Rattus norvegicus: one gene and its partners. The main gene of each other region encodes a partner of the protein of the gene in region 3 in a complex. Links are inferred from orthologs where the notes say so. Each region holds a gene or a part of one and is shown on either strand. Other genes may lie near its edges.

Region 1 (2,941 bases), on a different chromosome or scaffold from region 3:
GGAACTGTATTAAAGGGCCACAGCGTCAGGAAGGTTGAGAGCCACTGTTCTAAACACTAGTCAAGAAGATTCAGTTTGAGCCAAGACAGAGGAGGAGCCTAGTGGAAATGGAACATCTGGACCAGCAGCCCTTACCTTCATGGAGTCATACAGCCGGTCAGCAAAGTACAGGGGCTTGTTCTGAATGCACTGAACTGTGGAAAGGAGACACAGGTCAGGGGTGAGGCTGCTTTCCTGCCATGCATGAAGGAAGATGATGCCCTGGCCCTAAGACACTGACCAGAATGGGCCTGCCCCATGGATCCAGGATGTAGAAGACCAAGGAAAACTCAGAATCTCGTGAACCAGTAGGTTCTACCCACTGTGGTCTCTTCAATCATGAGATGCAGAGGTCAGTGATGCCCCAGTGTATATATGAGTGTCCCCATTATAGCCCTCTCTTCTCCAGCAACTTAGTCCTTCCTGGCAACTTAAGCCTGTTTCATGTCTTTAAATCTGCAGACAATCCTAAAGCTCTCCGAGACTTGCAGAAAGTCACCACACCTCCCAAGTCCCCATTGAAGGAAACACATAGCCATTCACTCCTGTCTCTGCCCTCTCTGCCGGCAAGGAAAGGCCACCCTTGCTCACCCAGGTTCAGGAAGGCGTTCTCCAGGTCTCCTTTGACCTCTTTCCTGATGCTCTCCAGCATGTCATAAGGACTGTAGCTCTTGTACCTTTCGAACACTAAGAGAAGGACAAATGATGTCAGAAGTGCCGGTCGGAGCCGCACGGACAGCCTATACAACCAGACAGCAGCAGCAGCAACGAAAACAAGAACCCAACACCTAAAGGTGATCCCCACGCATCCCAGGGGCTGGCAGTCATTTAGGGGCTGGAGGTCACCTTGGTGGACTAGAGATGATTTGTACCTGTCTTGCCAGATGACCCAGGTCTAGCTCCTATCCTTAATGGCTCTGCCTAGGCCACAGAGTTTAACCATCCCTCTGTGCCCTGACTGGACTCCATCTACGTGGATGTCATGGGAAACAGGATAGAGCCAGGGGTCATGTCCTGAACTTCAATAATCATGGCGAGAGCAAAGGATCCTCAGGTAAGGAGGGGAATTAGGAAGGGCCATGGAAACGGCCTGAGGTCCGTGTTTAGCCCCCCAAACCCAAAACCCATGTTTCAAAACAAACAAAAACAAACAAGCCAAGCATGATGGTGTGTGCTTGTAATCCCAGTGCTGAGAAGGCTGAGGCAGATGGGTGGCAGCTGTCTGTCCAGGCTGCCTAGCCTAGTGTTTGAACTCAAGGCCAATGAGTCTAAAAACCAAAACAACCACCCGGGGTCAATGGTTTCAAAGGTACGACACCGAAGGTTAACCTTGGCTCCCACATGCACTCCAAACACATGTGCACTCATATGAACATGCGCGCACACGCACGCGCGCGCACACGCGCGCGCACACACACACACACACACACAGTGAAACAAGCTAACATATCAAATATTGAACACATTTGGGGACGGAGGGTCCACAGTGAGAAAGGAGGCCAAATGGTTTGATAAAGGAAACTGAAAGAGTGAGTGGAGAACGAGCCTTGCTCTGGGAGCTCTGCACCTCACTGCAGCCTTTGCCACCTGAGAGCCTCCAGGCACTGAGACCCCGCTGGCACAGCACCCACCTTTCTGGAGGTGGCACACACTGCGCTCAGTCATGATGCTGATCCACTTGGGGACATCGGTTCCTTTCCTCTTCACCCCAGCATCATAGAGCTCCTGTGAGAGATGCAACCAACCAGGAGAAGTTAACCACACAACCCCCTAGCAGGCGTTACTCAAAAGCCCGTTCCCAGAAACATGTGAGCGCACAGGCCTGTGCTGCAGCTGGGACCCATCGTGTACCACATAGAGCAGGTGTGCTCAAACTTTTGGCTTCCCGGGGCCACACTAAGCTATCTCCCTAGGCCACAAAGCCCACTTCTAGCATTTATTAAAAAGCCTTTCTCTTACACTCGATGCACTCCCCAGACTATATAAGATTTTAAAACAGAGGCACATGATTTTGTCTGCCGCTCTTATGACTTGCTTTGAGATAACAGAGCCGCCGACCCCTTTGAGTGAGGCACGCCTCGTTCGCAGTTATCTAAAATAGCTTTATGAGGAGGTCACAGGCCCCTGTCATCTTCCTCTGTCCTCACTGAGTGGAGCAGGGAGCCTTCCTCTCCTGGTGTGCCTACCCCATCTGCTCCAGCTTCCCTAAGAGTTTAAGGTCAGGACCTAGCACTTCTATGCAATCAAAGCCTGAATGAGCCAATGGGACCTGGGTACAGATCTGATAATTAACCCCAGCATTACAAACATGGTTCCTGGAGACAAAGCTCTATGTTCAGATGGGCTGAGGCTTTAAAAGGCCCATTTCTCCCTTGGAAAGGACATTACTTAGTTTTACCCCTCCCACAGCTGTGGGCTGGACTCATGGACTCACTTCTAATGGTCAGAGTATGACAAGAGTGTATGACACTTGCGACTGAGTCATGAGAGCATGAGGGTTTCTGGATCCCTCTTGGGTCACTCACTCTAGGGAAGCCAGGGGCAATGTTGTTGGGGACATTCAAGCAGTCTGTGGAGGCCTGTGTGGAGGTATGCTAACATCTCTTGCCAAAAGTAAGTCACACATGAGCCATGTAGGGAAGATTCCCTTTGACCTGGTCATGCGCTCAGTAATTATAGCCCTAGCCAACATCTTATCTACAACCACATGAGAGGCCTTGAGCCAGAATTATCTGGTCAATCCAGTCTCCATCCCTGACCTGGAGAATCCGAGAGATAACAAATGTTAGCTTGAGGTCATTCGTTGTATATAAGTAAATGGTTGTGTGGGATACAACCCCCTCCAGATACACACGCCACGTAAAACTCAGCCAAGAAGCTTGGAACTTACCCGGGCATCCTG
Region 2 (3,500 bases), on a different chromosome or scaffold from region 3:
GTTTATGAGGGAGGCTAGAGTCCAGGGTCCTGTGCCCACCAAGGGCAGCAGATGGGCTGTGGAAGCCTCCAGAGCACCATGCATGGTGGGATAATGGAGGGGTCACCCCAGACCCAGCAGGGGCAAAGAGCCATGCCAGGGCAGAGGGTCTGACTGAGCACTCATGAACTGAGGATGGCCCTTTCCTCCAGACCTGGAAACACCACCCCACCCTCCCCACCACGCGGTTCCTGTGTAACTAAAACAGCACCCAGGGGGCACTCAGGCCCCTCCTTGCCCTTCGCAGTTGATAGAGAATCATAATCAACTCAGCATTGGCTCGTGAAATTAACTGGGGACTCGAGGGTCACAGATTCATTTAAGAGAGGCGGGGTCTGTAGCCACATGGAAGGCTGCGTCTCACCCTCTTCCCCATTACAGATGTGCACATACATGAACATACCACACCATGCACCATGCCAAGGTGTGCAGCTCAGTTTCTTTCTGCCCTTCCCTCCCTGCTGACTCCTAAGGACAGGGAAAGGCCCCAGGCTGCCGCTTGCTGGCCAGAGGCAGTGGCCCTGCATCCCCCGCTGGCCCACCTCCTGCAGCTGAATCATCTCGGCCTCCATGCTCTTGAGCTTCTTCTCATTCTCCTTGGCCTGGGCCAGGATCTCCTCCCGGGAGGCTCGCGTGTCGTCCAGCTCCCGCATGCAGTCCTTCATCTGGGCCTGTGTGAAGGAGGCGTCAGCATCGCCAACTACTTCCGCCTGCTCGGGGTCTTGACCCCTTAAGGGGCCATGTCCCCAACAGTGACCTGCTCTACGCCTGGCATGGTTTTAGCCAACCTTTTTATAAACAGGCAAAAAAGTAACCAAAGGCAAGTGGCTCTGCACGTCTGTCTTCCTGACTAGACTTAGAAGGTGGCTCTTCAGGGCACAGACCCCTGCACACAGTGTAACCTGGGCCCGTCTGCCTGCTCTAACTTCCTGTTGGCTTGCAGCTAATGCCAGCGGCATCATCCAATGTGTCGTCCATGACGTCCAGTCAGTGACCAGGGAAAAGCAGGGACAAGACACGAAGTATGCTTCCTGCCAGGTAAGGCAACAACGAAGCGGAGAGCTCGGTCCCCTGTCCCCTGATCTGAAGCAGACAGGCCTCACGATGGCATACACCCTGAGGGCAGAGTGTGACTCCTGTTATGTGTGACTCTTAAAAACGCCATCAGCAAGCTGACCTTCTTGCTCACAGCCTTGCCCACGTGATGGTTAATCTTTCTTCCTGCTGCTACACTCGGCATGAATGGGCACACAAGAGCTGTTTGTACTAATGTTAGTCTTTGACCACACTGGTGAGTGAAAACTGCTCCCAAGTGTATGTCTCAAGCTCTGAGCCACTTCTCAGAGCCACCAGCTTAGACCATCCATCACTGAACACTCCGGTCTCTTCCTGAAGCCTGAGTGTGTGTGGCCGCCATCCTTGACTCTACTGCACGTCCAGCTACCTTTCCTCTTGACTTAATGGACTCAGCCCCCTCTTGTTACTGTGTCCCTTCTGAGCCCGAGCCTCACCTGTGAGACAGGCCCCGACTCCCAGCCTCTACCTGTCCCCATCTGTGACCAGCCTGGGTCTGCCTCACCTGAAGCTTCCGTAGCTGTTTGATGGCCTCCTCCCGGTTCTTGTTGGCTGTGTCTATGTGAGCCTCCAGGTCCTTCAGATCCATCTCTAGTTTCTTGCGAGCAGCCATGGCAATGGACCGCTGCTTCCTCTCATCCTCCAGCTCCGCCTCCATCTCCCGCACCTGAGGAACAGCAGGGCTCATGCTTAGCGCTCACTGCTGAGCACTGAGTTCAGGTGAGCTCAGACCAGTTCTGGGCTGTCCATGGGGCCACCCGAGACAAAGTACAAAGTAAAATTGCAGAGCCCTAAGACAGAGTCTGAGAAACAAGGCAGTGGAAAATGGTCCAGGAGCCCCTCCGAGGCCCAGGTGTTGCACAGGGGGACAGAGATGCAGTCCCTGGTGTCCCTCCCCATAGCGAGGAGGCCATACGCACCTGTCTGACCAGCTGCTTCTTCTTCTCCTCGCTCTGTTCATCCCGGCCCTGCAGATCCCGCTCAAACTGGGCCTTCATGGCCTGCAGGTTCACCTCCAGACGGAGCTTGGCATCCTCAGTGGCCTGAAGCTCATCCTCCAGCTCCTCCAGCTGGGTCTTCATCTCCTCGACCTGCTGCTCCAATGCCCTCTTGGACTTCTCCAGCTCATGGACCTAGCAGAGCCCCATGTTAGTTACAGACACGAACAGCTAGGGGCCCTGAGCTCCAACCACACACACCAGGCTCCCCCGAACCCAGGACGCCAGCCCAGCACTCACGCTCTTGCCCACGTCATCCTTGGAGCTCATGAGGTCCTCCATCTCCGTGCGGAACTGCTTGTTGAGCCGTTCTAGCTCTGCCTTCTGCTCCATGGCCTCCTCAAGTGCCCGGGCCAGTGACAGTGCCTTTGTCTCCTTCTCACGGGCCTCAGCCTCAGCTCGGTCTCGCTCCTCAGCATACTTGGCTGAGATGGTCTTCTCCTCAGCTAGGAGCTAGGGAAAGAAGTCTTGCTGTGAGGCTGAGACTGAAGACCACTACCCTACGGCCAGACCCAGACCAACAGGCCCAAGGCTGCTACCCAGGGGCTCGCTGGCTCCCGGGACGGCAAGGACTCCTGTAACACTGTACTTTGATCTTTGTTTAAATTTTTAACGACTTTCATCTGTGTGTGCACACACATGCACACACAAACGTGCATGTACACATACATGTGCATGTGCTGGTGTCACTAGAAGCCAGGAGAGTATGTTGGACCTCATAGAGCCACAGTTACAGGTGGCTGTGAACTGCTGGGTGATAGGAATGAAACTCATCTCTTAGCAGCTGAACATCTCTGCAATCTCTCTGCTCAGTCCTTCATTTATGTTACCCAGTGAGGATGCCCACATTCCTGAAAAGCCGTGCTCAAAAGCTTAAATCCCACGTGTGGTCCTTCTCCAAAGATGGCTGCACCACTGTACCTGTTCTATGGGGCCCACCCTCACTATTCCTCACCTCCCTGCCTTCCTAGGTTCTCTGCCCACCTTCACCTGCTCCACAGATTGGGCCTCTCATAAAGAACATTACTTAGAGGTTGAAGGCTGTAGTCTCTCAAAGCAGCCATTCAGCTCTGCCACTTATCACACTAGGAGCCAGTGGCAGCATGTAAACAAGTGTAGCTACATACAATGAAACTTTATCTGGAAAAACATGGGGACAGGAGATGGCTCCACAGGTAAATGACAGAAGATGGACTTGTGCAAGTTGCCCTCTGACCTCAGCACATGCATACATGCACACACACTAAATGACTAAGTGTAAGACAAACAGAAGTTTTAAGTCACAGCGGAGGGACTGGATTTGTCTACCACGTGTTGACCCAGTTGTTTTTTTACTATTATTCCATCTGACCCCAGTGTCTGCATCTCCATGGGGGAAGGAGGGCTGGC
Region 3 (4,175 bases):
CTATAAATGTTAGGGCTGAATGCCAGTCCACCTCCCCACCCTTCTCTGGCTTCAAGACTCCTGCCTCATGACTCAGGCAGGCCTGTTGTCTTCCCTCCAGACCCCAACCAGCAGCAGATGTGACCTTTAATTCCATCCCAACTTCAGTTTGAGCCCAGAGGCAGTACTAGAGAGAGGAGGGAGAACCGTGGGCTGGATAACATCCCACATCTGGAGCCTTTCAAGGCAAGCCTCTGGTGGTTTCTGCCTTTAGTGTTCCCAGAGTTTGCTTTGTTGCATGTACAGGAGCACGTGAACACACACAAACACACACACACATGCACGCATACACACAAATATACACTTGTAATGAACTCAGAATAAGTCACTCACCCCTCCCCAACCTTTTCTAGTTTGGCCCCCACAAAGCTCCAGGTCAACTTCCAGCCATCTCTGCCACCACCCTCCCTCAGCCCCACCCACCCACCCACAATCTCCAGTCTCTCAGACATAGTTTCAAAACTCTTTATTAAACTTGCTCAGCACTGTGCACATGTATGAAGAAGCCAGAGTAAGGCACTATGCTCACAGCCAACATGGAAGATTCCCCCACTGGCCCAACACTTCATCTGAGGAGTCTTCACTTCTTCCGGGGCTCCTTATCTGGGCAGCCCTCAAAGAATTCATTGCACATCATGGCAATGCAGGACAGGAAGACACAGTACTCCTGGAAGTCAACTTCATTGTCCCTGTTGCTGTCCAAGTTGTTCATCAGCTTCTGGAATGCAGCTTCGTCTGTCCTTCTCTGGAGGTAGAAGAGGTACAGTTAGACGCCACCTCCAGCCAGGAGCTCAGGAAGGCTTGCAGACACCGTGCTAGCCTCAGGGCTCAACTGTGAGATGAGCACATGGGCTAGCTGGGAAAGGATGTGACCACATCTTCCCCACGCTTGTTTTAACTATGTCTATAGGTAACTGTCATGACAAGGAGGTGTTAACTAAGATAAGGTGTCATTGAGGGGAAGATCTGCAGGCATTTGTGTGCCTCCACAATCATGTCTTCACAAGCAGAAACTCGATTTCTGTTGCACATCACCGGAAAGACTGTCCTGATCTAGGCTGTGCTTTCAGACACTGACTACCTAATGTGGTTTTCCTGTGCCACTTCAGTTAACTTCATTCTAAGCCTTGTCTCAACGGGGGGCTGGTGTGAAGTAGATGGTTCATTGTGGTTCCATACCAAGCGCCAGGAGTAGGGAGAGATATATATATATATATATATATATATATATATATATATATATATATATGTAGATAGATAGATAGATATAGATAGATGATATAGATATAGATAGATAGATAGATAGATAGATAGATAGATAGATAGATAGATAGATATCTCCAGCCCCAGCCTCCTCCTGGGGATGCATCACATATGCAATACACAGACAGGATCCACTCACCCCCAGGAAGCTAGGCAGCTCCCTGGTCAGTAGCTCCTTGAGCTCTGTCTTGTTCAGCTTGAACTTGTCACCCTCGTTGCCTGAGTATTTGTGGAAGGTGGACACTATTACATCCAGGGCCTCCTCCAAGGGTCTCGCCATGGTGACCGTTGAGACCTAGGGGCAGGAGACACAAAAGTAGCCTTCTCCAACCCACACCAACAGTGTGTTGAGAGCTGGATATATGTTGCTAGGCATCACTCAAGTCACACTCAGTCTGTCCCCGTTTTTAGTGCTCTACTCCAACCTACTCTCTAAGAGCACTTCCAGAGACCGACCTCACTCCCAGGGAGATCAGAGGAGTGGTACCCACTGATGGCAAGAAGCTCATATGTGCTTCAAGCTCTGAAACTTGCAAAACTTACCACTCAAACTCTAGAAATTCATGCCAGCAGCCTTCTGTGCCTCCCCCCCAGGCCTGGCCTCAACAACAGCAGTTTTCCATCCCTCACTCAGCTTACTCACTCCCCAACTCAACCACAAGCTCCAGCCTCTGACCCATTCTTCTCCCTCCCAGCGTTGGGCGCGGCTGCTGGCTGCCTGCCCAGGGGCCTACAGTGAGGGAAAAAACCCAGCTGCCTAGTAGGAGTGAGATGAAGTGGCAGAGGTTGGGGTACAAGGGGAGGGGGTGGGGAAGCCAGGCTCTCTTGGCCTAGGTGCTATATGTTCATAGGGCTATGAACTACTATGAACACAAATGCCTACAGGTGGGTGTTGAACAGGTGGCTCAGTAGGTAGAGGTGCTTGCCACCAAGCTCAATGACCTGAGTTTGATCTCCAGAGCCCACATGCTAGAAGGAACAGATTGACTCTCACAAGAAGTGCCCCTTGGCATTTGCCCCATCCCCACCCATACACTCGTACACACAAATAAAATAAGTGTAATTTAAACATCGTAAAACAAAAATGCCTGCTGATGCCTTCACTTTGCTTCCTGTACCTGAGTGTCCACACACTGGCTTGGATGACCCAGCAACATACCTATCCATGACAGTGGCTCCCAAGCACCAACATACACTATAGCAACATACAAGCAAGCCTCAGCATCTCAGAATCTCCGGGAGCCATTTATATACTGCTTGTTTTTCAGTTTTCATTCTTGTGCAACACACACACACACACACACACACACACACACACACACACACACACACACCTCCGTACCAGAATCTCTCATCTGGATCCGTTAAAGACTTCTGCCCTCCCCCCAGTACGCCCCCTTTCTCCTGTCCTAGCCTCAGCCTCTAAACTGCTAACAGTGCTATCAGGCCAACACGACTCACCAGACCAAGAGAGAGGAAGTGCTGAACAGAGAGGTTTGGGGAGAGCCCAACAATCTGACCTATTTATACCCTGCCATGCCCTGCCCATGCAGGGGATGGGGGAACATGGATACTGCTCTTGCTGTTGGTCGATGCGGGTAAGTGTCACAGCCCAGCCACCAGCCCAGCCAAGAGCTAGGCTTCCTGCTCCCTAGCAGGCACAATCAAGTAGTGAGTGCGCTCCAGTGGGCAGGGCAGAGACTTGGATGGGGTGGATACCACCAAGTAGCCGCAGTTCAGCTAGAATCTTAGGAAGCTTTGAGAAGGGACAACCTGTACATGAGGTGTGGGGCACAGAAAAGGAGATGCTGGTGTTATAGACAAGAGATGGGAAACTGCCCTGGAATTATCTGGCTGAGGAATTAAGGAGGTGACCCAGCCAGTGGGACAATGTCAGCCCTTCTCTCCAGCCTACACAGCTTCTTGTCACATCAGGAAGATCCAGGGTGGAGGCTAGCAAATCAGGAGGGACCTTGGGACCACCCCAGGTATTAAGTGGGAAATATCATAATGGAGTTAGGTGGTAGTGTGGCCTAGAGGTTTATGCATGGATGGAAGCTTGAGTAAGGGTATTGGGGATGACAGAAGCATTCGGGATTGAATGCTCAGCTTGGAGAAGAGAGTTAGAGAAGAAAGAGGTGAATAGGGAGTCAGGATTAATCTCTAAGGATATGGTACAAACTCAGGGGTTAAGTGAAGGTTAGAGGGGGTTTGACTCTGGGCTCCCACAACCGCATCCTCCTTGTATTGAGTACCTCCCAAGGAGCCCCTTGTTCTCCTAGAAAGCCCAAGATAAGGACTTCTGGTTCAAGACAGGGGACAGAGAGATGGAGACAGAGACCCTCCAGTCTCATCCAATGAGACCTTATGTTGCCCCCACCCTCCTATTGGACACTAAGATTTGAGCATCTCTACTGGGTCTGATGCTGGGTCCCACAACCGCATCCTCCTTGTATTGAGTACCTCCCAAGGAGCCCCTTGTTCTCCTAGAAAGCCCAAGATAAGGACTTCTAGTTCAAGACAGGGGACAGAGAGGTGGAGACAGAGACCCTCCAGTCTCATCCAATGAGACCTTGTGTTGCCCCCACCCTCCTATTGAACAGTAAGATTTGCACATCTCTACTGGGTCTGATGCTTTGGGGGTCCATCTTCAGTGGTAAGCCTTCTTTCTCCAGTGGTAAGGAGCATAAAGGAACAAGGACTCAGTCCCAAGACCCAGTGTGTCCCACCAGAAAAACCAAAGTAAGCCAAGATGACATTTCTTTATTGGGAGTTGAGGAGGCCCCTGCCACAGCAGTCCCAACTGTGTGCACATGCCTGAGCTTCCAGGTAAGAGCAGAGATGTTCTTCCCTTCCAAGAAGAGAAGCAGCAA

Evidence for each region.
Region 1: the proteins of S100a4 (region 3) and Anxa2 are in contact, whole or in part, in a crystal structure (PDB 5LPU), measured with the Homo sapiens proteins. The link is inferred for Rattus norvegicus from reciprocal best matches to the Homo sapiens genes S100A4 and ANXA2. Residues at the interface, in NP_002952.1 of Homo sapiens: Lys35, Leu38, Pro43, Ser44, Phe45, Leu46, Gly47, Lys48, Arg49, Thr50, Asp51, Ala54, Phe55, Lys57, Leu58, Asn61, Leu62, Gln73, Phe78, Cys81, Ile82, Met84, Met85, Glu88, Phe89, Phe93; in NP_001002857.1 of Homo sapiens: Leu13, Glu14, Pro21, Ser22, Ala23, Tyr24, Ser26, Val27, Lys28, Tyr30, Thr31, Asn32, Phe33, Glu36, Arg37, Leu40, Thr44, Gln69, Asp70, Phe73, Arg77, Arg78.
Region 2: the proteins of S100a4 (region 3) and Myh9 are in contact, whole or in part, in an NMR structure (PDB 2LNK), measured with the Homo sapiens proteins. The link is inferred for Rattus norvegicus from reciprocal best matches to the Homo sapiens genes S100A4 and MYH9. Residues at the interface, in NP_002952.1 of Homo sapiens: Leu38, Ser44, Phe45, Leu46, Gly47, Lys48, Arg49, Thr50, Asp51, Ala54, Phe55, Lys57, Leu58, Asn61, Leu62, Ser64, Gln73, Glu74, Cys76, Val77, Phe78, Ser80, Cys81, Ile82, Met84, Met85, Cys86, Glu88, Phe89, Phe90; in NP_002464.1 of Homo sapiens: Thr1906, Ala1909, Met1910, Glu1913, Val1914, Ser1915, Leu1917, Lys1918, Lys1920, Leu1921, Arg1922, Asp1925, Leu1926, Pro1927, Phe1928, Val1929, Val1930, Pro1931, Arg1932, Met1934, Ala1935.

What each region holds. Positions count from the first base shown.
Region 1 is NC_086026.1:79,017,252-79,020,192, reverse strand, and holds part of Anxa2 (annexin A2), read right to left. Parts: coding exon 2,930-2,941; intron 1,765-2,929; coding exon 1,671-1,764; intron 727-1,670; coding exon 631-726; intron 195-630; coding exon 136-194; intron 1-135. UniProt on the Homo sapiens protein: Calcium-regulated membrane-binding protein whose affinity for calcium is greatly enhanced by anionic phospholipids. It binds two calcium ions with high affinity. May be involved in heat-stress response.
Region 2 is NC_086025.1:111,228,464-111,231,963, forward strand, and holds part of Myh9 (myosin-9), read right to left. Parts: intron 2,565-3,500; coding exon 2,352-2,564; intron 2,247-2,351; coding exon 2,034-2,246; intron 1,781-2,033; coding exon 1,619-1,780; intron 711-1,618; coding exon 582-710; intron 1-581. UniProt on the Homo sapiens protein: Cellular myosin that appears to play a role in cytokinesis, cell shape, and specialized functions such as secretion and capping. Required for cortical actin clearance prior to oocyte exocytosis. Promotes cell motility in conjunction with S100A4.
Region 3 is NC_086020.1:178,387,154-178,391,328, reverse strand, and holds S100a4 (protein S100-A4), read right to left. Parts: upstream 2,801-4,175; 5' UTR 2,764-2,800; intron 1,968-2,763; exon of another isoform or gene 1,846-1,967; intron 1,598-1,845; 5' UTR 1,583-1,597; coding exon 1,442-1,582; intron 785-1,441; coding exon 620-784; 3' UTR 492-619; downstream 1-491. UniProt on the Homo sapiens protein: Calcium-binding protein that plays a role in various cellular processes including motility, angiogenesis, cell differentiation, apoptosis, and autophagy.